Saccharomyces cerevisiae S288C: one gene and its partner. Changing the gene in region 2 together with the main gene of any one other region gives a genetic interaction. Each region holds a gene or a part of one and is shown on either strand. Other genes may lie near its edges. The genes, in order: MSC6 and PEX22.

Region 1 (4,839 bases), on a different chromosome or scaffold from region 2:
ACACGAATATTATCTTGCCAAAACGATGATATTTCATCTGGCAATGCTTCAATCTCATTGGAGGACAGATCCAAGATCTCTAATTGAGGGCATTGTGTCAAAATATATGGGATTTCTTTAAAATTGTTATTATGCAAATCCAGATATTGCAGCCTTGATAACCTCTTGAAACTCGCTGGTAAGGATGTTAAGTGATTTTTCCTTAAAGACAGTCTTTCAACATTTTGGATATATCCCACATCTTCATCTGATATGGACTTGATATTAAGAGCTATTAATTTTAGTGTAGTACCACTAGAGCTGGATTTCTCTTGTGTTGCCAACTCAGATATTATAGTGTTGCTTGAATTAGTGGATGTTTTGTCAGCAGGCAAATGTTCCTCCTTCGGATCCAACGTCCTCTTTGAAGATGTCGCTACCATACGTTACGGATACTTATAGACTTAACTCCCCCCAATAAGTTCAGGTGAAAAGTAGCATGGAGTTTTGGCATTAACTTTATTTGCCCACTTATATTTAGAGATCTTGAAATACTTTTTGTTACCCGACTTGTAGCTTCATTTTTTCATTTTTTTTTTTTTTTTTTATTTTTATTTTGTATTGTTCTTTGAAAGAATCATGCATGGAAGCAATAACTATTATACGGAAGTTATATACAAGAAATCATTATATAGTTACAGCATCATATGTGCAGAAAATTGGTTCTGAGCTTTTCTTATTGTCTTCTTATGACAAGTGTATTAAGTCAACTTTTCTGGAACAGTAATTCCATCACATTCTTTTAAAATTTGAATATCCTTAGGGTTGGGACGAAAACCCTCATTAGTGCCTAAATCTCGCATAAACTGGTTAATAAAAGCAACCTCTTTGTCAGATAACTGCTGAGTATTGCGTGCAAATGTGGCCAAGTTGAATAGAATTTTCGAAACGGCCAAGTTCGACACCCTGATACTTGAATCCTTAGCTAGATTGTAGTACTTTTCGATGTAGGGAACGTACTCGCTATGTTTACTCTTGTAAAGTTTATCACAGAACCCCAATAATAAAGCATTTAGAGGCGTATTATCCACGTTTCTCTTTCTAGTCTTTTGATATGAGAGAAAATCAGAAAACAAATTCTTTGCCTCGGCCACTGTGCCGTCAGGCTTATTAAACTCTGCGGAAATAAAGTCTGCATAATTCCTAGCATTTAAGTGAGTTCCCAATTGTTTGTAAAGTTGACGAATCGGCTCGACAGTGGGGCACACTGAAATAAAGGCTTTCGTAATCTTTTCAACCTTTTCATAATCGGTGGGATTAATGGAAACACTTTGCAATAGATCGAATTGTGGGCGTGTATCTTCTGCCTGAAATTTATAATTAGCGTACATTTTAATGCTTAGAGTATCCAAAGTAGGGGGTAACACACCATCTGATGGATAATGGTTATAGTAAAATGTGTTGAATTGTTCTTCGCTCACTTTTTCATCATCTAACATTAGCAATAAAACTTTATTGAACAACTTCTTGGTTTTAACAGTCTCTGCTAACTCCCCTTTGACTTGGTCATACTTTAGAGGCGAAGTTTGACATAAGGCCAGGAGAAATGCTTCCTTCACGATGGGATCTTTCTTGAACTTTTTAGGAAGTTCTTCTTCCCAAAATTCCTTTAAATGGTTGAAATTTCCAGAATCAGTTAGTGCGTTAACTAGCGTCGCATAAGATGTGTTTTTAATATTATCTCCTGGTTTGATAACACTGTTCCAGACTGCTAGAATTCTGTCCAACTTCTCTTTACTCGATTTAGCTCGTAAGTGCGACACAGCTCTTAAAAGACAATCTTTCAGCGACGTACTATTTGGGAAAACCTTGCTATACTGGTTATAAATAGTAACAACTTGGTCGGGTTTATCCAAATCAATAAACTTGTCCATGAACTTGCTTATGATCTCTACATTTTTCTCACCTTCAAGTTTATTGTATTGGCCATAAAGATCCCTTAAATCTATCCATCTAGGAGCATTTTCAATTTGACTTAAGAAATGATCACTATCCTGTACTGTGTATTGATAGTACAAAGTGTTTAGATTTTTGATAATCACGTCTCTTCTTTCAAGAGAGCTAAATTCTGTACTTAACATTCTTCTAATCATGTTAAAAGGTAAAACCTGGCCCATTTTACGATCGATCTGTAAAATCTTATACAGAATATTGATATCCACAGTATTCTCTGGTAAAGATAAGTAAGCAATGGTGGTAATTGCAATATTTTGCATATGTGCACGAGAAGAACTATTTTGAAGTAAGATCACTGGGTTTTCGGAAATGGTTTCCAAGTACTTCACCCATAAGGCAATAACGTCCTGTGGTGATTGATTATATAGAAGGTACTTTAAAACAATCGTGAAATGTTGTGAGCGTGCCAATTTGTATTGGCACAATGTGTTTAATACTTGATAAGGATCTAGCGTCATATTTTTGCTTCTGTAACTTAATTCCTGTAGGAGATCCGAAGAAAAATTCGCTAACAAGTGTGATCTTTCCATAGGTGAAGGGTTCCTTAATTTCTGTTTCAACGATTCAATCTTATCTTTAAAGTCATTAAAAACTTCATTGATATCTGAATCTGGAGCTTTCAACTCGTTCTTCAAATCAGCAGCCAAATTTTGTACCCTTTCAAACGGTGAGACGTGCTTTTCTCTATTTCCTGAATGTCCATCATCTGTTTCTTGTAAGTGAACGCTGCTTTGTTGGTATATCGATGTTGAAGAGGTTAGACATCTTCGTGAAATAATCACCTTTGAACAATCAAAGGCCCTTAAAGCATTATGGGAAAGCATCTGTATCCCAGTGGAAGGCTCTGATATTATTTTGTGCAGAGCCAACTTAAGCAAACATATAGACAGTACGTCCTTAGTTAGACATGTGTAGCAATTGAACGATTCCACAGGCGGTATGTATATCGTATATGATGATATTACATTTTACTTACCCCGCTTTTTCCCTCTTATAATCGATTAATTACTTAGTCGACGAGCAACCTTTTATGGCATATTTGAAAGGTAATACAATGTTCCAACTTCGTTTTTTATTCACAGATCAATTAACGTATTGGCACACCTGATATTTCCTCAATAGTAAGTAGTTTTGGTGATGTAACTTTGACACTACCTTCGACCGAATATTCACTTATAAAACTTATATATTACTTGCTTTTACTTCTAACTTGTCTGGAGAGTTCAATCTTTGTTTTCAGCTCTATATACCGGTTTTCTGCATCGGCGGCTAAATGGTATTCTTTTCCGCTTGGCTCTACACAATGTTTATTAAGCTGAGCGTCGGTGTTTCCGATTTGGACCGTTTGACTTTCTTTTTGGACTGGTTTTCTTTTTTAGTACGAGGTGTACGGACAAAAGATACTAACGGACAAAACGCGGTTGCAACTGAAATTTTTTTTTCACTATTTTCGTAGGGCACATTGGTGTAAATATATATATATATACTCAAGGTTCATCTCGTTTTTTTTAATATTCTTGTTCCTTACTCTTGATCATACGTAGAATGTATGTCTTTATCCTGAAAGTAAAGAAAGGATTATACAATGCTGAAATGTTAGTACTAAATATGAGCATACAATCACTTGTTGTTCACTAGTTCAACGAGTTTCATTCATATTCAACTCACGCAAGGGATTATGGAAGAAGAATCCTTTTTATGAAAGGGAAAAAAAACCGAAATACTATGTTAACTGCTTCCAACGCTCTATACTAATGCGCATGAAGATTTTACTTGCGAATCAAACTGATTCGCACGCAATATCTAAGTCTGCTATACCTACCTTACATCTCGCCGTATGTTATGGGTGCAAGGGTGTTTTTTTTTTTTTATATTTTTTTTGTTTGGGGTTTTCGATACTTTGTGAAGGAACGACGCAGAAAAAAACGAAAATCATACGCCCGATGAAATTTTTGATAAGAAAATTTTCTGAAAACCCATGCGATGAGAAGTCAAAAATTTTTCTTCTTCTCCTTTTCTTGTACTTTTATCCCGGCTAGTTCTTTTTCTAAAATTTTCATATTCCAGTCCAATATTTTACTTCATTTTTTTTTTCTGTTCTCGCTTGGCTTGATTTAATTTTTTACGTAGGTTTTTTTTACACGATATTGTTTGTATTATCAGTATTCCCTTCAAGCTCCCCTTTTTTTTATCAATTAAGGTTCTTGGTAATTTCTATTTCTGAAAAACCAAAAACAAAAAGTCATTGATTGACTATTTGACTCAAATTACCAAAATCATAACTTTTCTTTTCAGCATTCCATTATTGAAGGCTTTAAAATAATAGTTTCTTTTTTCCTATTATTTTATTTTTTCCTTTACATTGGAATACATTTTATTTTGAGTTTTAATTTTTTTTATTTTCTATTCCATTGTTTTTTATTTGCTTTGGACTGCCCTTTTCGTAATAATTTCCCTTTTTACCCTATTTTAGTCACTTCTGTGTCAGCAAGCGGGATTATATAAAGAAACGTTAGCAGAAACAATATCAGCAAAATAGAAAATAAACGGGCAATCAATCAATAACTACAGAAATATTGGGAGGTTTTAACTAATTTTTCCAGGATATTTCAACTTTTCATAAATCAAATTTTTTTTACTTTTTTTTTTGCTTTGCTATAGTATTTTAGAAAAGGACAAAAAAATACGAAAAAAGACAAAAAACCATATAAAAAAATTGATTAGAAGAACTTATAATGGCATTGGCAAATTCCAGACCTTTGCAAATACCAACTTTAGAGAATGAAATTCTTCATAACTCAAATTCTCCAGTATTTCAGTTGAATTCAATGGGATTTACAACTA
Region 2 (3,095 bases):
CTCAAGAAAAGATTATATGTGAATAACACTGGTTACATACTCGATATTATGTCGTTCAAGTTCACTAAAATAGATATCATAGTACAACCTTCCAAATATAATGCATATCCGACAATGTCATCGAGGTTTGGTCACTTACAAATTTCTATTGATAATCCAAATAGGAGAGCTAGCGTTCATTCTTCAAGCATGAACGAAATTCATAAAATGGGGAGTGCTTCCATGAAACAAGGTAGCAGCATCACTTCCGGGCGGCTTGAAAAAGCAGCAGTACTTTCATCATTACCTCATAATACTGTGCACACGGTTATAATATTTGGTGGTTACAGACAAACCGGTGATGATCGTTACGAAGCAATGAATGATTTGTGGAAGATAGAGATACCCGTGATACGTCGCGGTAAAAAAGGTTATTGTAAGTTTTCAGAGACAGCTAACGCGATACTACTGACGCCAAGCGAAAAGGACAAATCGGATTGGCCCGAAGAAAGAGCCTTTTCTGCCTTTTCTGTTCATGGGACTTCGTTAATGGATAGGAGTTCTCTTGACATGAGACTATTGAACAACTTAAAAAACCATTTTGTTTTAAAACCGTCATATATATCACAGGATCGCGTTGTTAGTCCTAAACCGGTTTTCCCCATGATGGTTCATGGCACGCATCAAGATCTTTTCAATAGTGGCTCTGCGGCACAAGAATCGCCCAAAGCTGGTGCCTCGGCCAGCAGCGCAAGTGCTGCGAGCTTTGATCCCGATATGGACGATAATTTGGAAAATTATATAGTCAATCCAGGGAGAAAATCGTCATCTATTCCAATGACTGCGATAGGGAGACAGAGATTAATTTTAAGCCAAGAGAAGCCAGTAGGTAAAACTGTTGTATTGCATGGTGGGTCTAACGGTCTCAACGTTCTTGATGATATGTGGTTGATGGACTTAGAGTGTGAGACATGGACTCCAATAGAGACATTTGCAAAGGCAGATTCGAGCGAAGACGGTGATGAAAAATTGGATAGTGTGAACGTAGGTCTCGTTGGCCACAGAATGGAAAGTATTGGACGAATATGTGTATGTATAGGTGGTATGGTACAAGAGGATGTTGACCAATTTTACTCGGAGAATGATGATGAGCCTCCTCGAAAACGCAAGGTCGATACATTACCGTTGGGTGGTAATTTTTTGAACACAATTGATTTAAGCACGCAGTGTTGGGAAGAACATAAAATTACTCTGTCCAAGAAGGAAGACGATGAGGACAGACAAGATAGCGAAAATGAAGATACAAATTCAAATATAGTAGTTGGTGTCGGTGGCACTTCTTTGCAATGTGACAAAAGTATTATTTTGATTGGCGGATTGATATCTAGACGGAGCAATGTAAAAGAAATATATTTACATGGTACCATAACGAAAAGTATTTTTCCTAGCGTAAATCCTAGTGCATAAAAAGGCAGTTTTCAATGCTTTCACTTTGTAAACTTTGTTTAGTAGTAGAATATAATATATTCAGTTTTGTTTTATAGTCACATAACACTTTGTCTTTCAAAGAATAATCTCCTTCGCAATACCAGCGAAATATTTTGGCAAAAAATTAACAATTAGGTTCATAGTCCCCTAATTCAATTAATCGAAAAAAAAAAAATAAAATATAAGGGAAGATTGTGCTGATGAAATAGACAATGAAACAATAATGAAGAATAAAGAAGAAGAAGATATAAAACATGCCACCACCATCAAGAAGTAGAATAAACAAAACAAGAACATTAGGAATAGTGGGTACAGCTATAGCAGTGTTGGTCACGTCCTACTATATATATCAAAAGGTGACAAGTGCAAAGGAAGATAATGGGGCACGACCTCCAGAGGGTGATTCAGTAAAAGAGAACAAAAAGGCAAGGAAGAGCAAATGTATTATAATGAGCAAGTCGATACAAGGACTGCCCATAAAGTGGGAGGAGTACGCCGCTGATGAAGTGGTTTTGCTGGTACCTACGAGCCACACTGATGGATCAATGAAACAAGCCATTGGGGATGCCTTTCGCAAGACGAAAAACGAACACAAAATCATATATTGCGATAGCATGGATGGATTATGGTCATGTGTAAGACGGCTAGGTAAATTTCAGTGCATATTGAACTCCAGGGACTTCACAAGTAGTGGTGGTAGCGATGCAGCAGTCGTTCCTGAAGATATAGGCAGGTTTGTCAAATTTGTTGTTGATAGCGATGTAGAGGATGTGCTGATTGACACTTTATGCAATTAATGTAGAAAAGAGTTTCTTGTAACAGTATGTAAAGAATAAATAATTATAAGTATAAATAAAAAGAGAAGGTGAAATAATAATAAGTAAGCAGCTCGGTTATAAGAGAACAAAAACACACGAAAAAAAAAAAGTCGTCAATATAAAAAGGAAAGAAATCATCATTACAACTTGACCGAATCAATTAGATGTCTAACAATGCCAGGGTTTGACAATGTAGAAACGTCGCCTAGTTGGTCACTTTCTCCTGCTAGGATTTTTCTTAAAATACGTCTCATAATTTTGCCGGATCTTGTCTTGGGCAAGTCATCCACTAAAATGATCAATTTTGGTGCGGCAAATGGCCCGATGTCTTTTCTAACAGTAAAGACCAAATGCTTCTTGATATCTTGTAATTCATCATCTGTTGCGGTGGACCAACTAGATTTGTTTTTCAACACCACAAATGCAGCAACTGCTTGACCAGTCAAGTCATCGTTGAATCCGACAACAGCACACTCGGCCACAATTGGATCTTCGATAATAGCAGCCTCAATTTCAGCGGTAGACAGACGGTGACCAGAGACGTTCACCACATCGTCTACACGACCCAAAATCCAGATATAACCATCCTTATCCTTTGCAGCACCATCACCAGTGAAATAGTAGCCAGGGTAAGGGTTCAAATAAGTGTCTAGATACCTATCATGATTTTTCCAAATAGTTCTTGCAAATGATGGCCATGCAGCTTTGACGGCAAGGACACCCTCTGCGTGGCTGGTGTTAAGTTCTTCACCAGTGTTAGGGTCAAGAACAACTGCATCAATACCGAAGAAGGGGAATGAGGCAGAACCC

What was found.
Region 1: mutations in PEX22 (region 2) and MSC6 together harm fitness more than expected from each alone (negative genetic interaction), as found in Saccharomyces cerevisiae (2 studies listed by BioGRID).

What each region holds. Positions count from the first base shown.
Region 1 is NC_001147.6:1,000,407-1,005,245, forward strand, and holds MSC6 (Msc6p), read right to left. Parts: upstream 2,820-4,839; coding exon 741-2,819; downstream 1-740. Other genes in the region: SOG2 (Sog2p), read right to left, coding at 1-422; GDS1 (Gds1p), read left to right, coding at 4,731-4,839. UniProt on the Saccharomyces cerevisiae protein: May be involved in the control of meiotic sister-chromatid recombination.
Region 2 is NC_001133.9:40,456-43,550, forward strand, and holds PEX22 (ubiquitin-protein transferase activating protein PEX22), read left to right. Parts: upstream 1-1,721; coding exon 1,722-2,264; downstream 2,265-3,095. Other genes in the region: GPB2 (Gpb2p), read left to right, coding at 1-1,446; ACS1 (acetate--CoA ligase 1), read right to left, coding at 2,426-3,095. UniProt on the Saccharomyces cerevisiae protein: Involved in peroxisome biogenesis.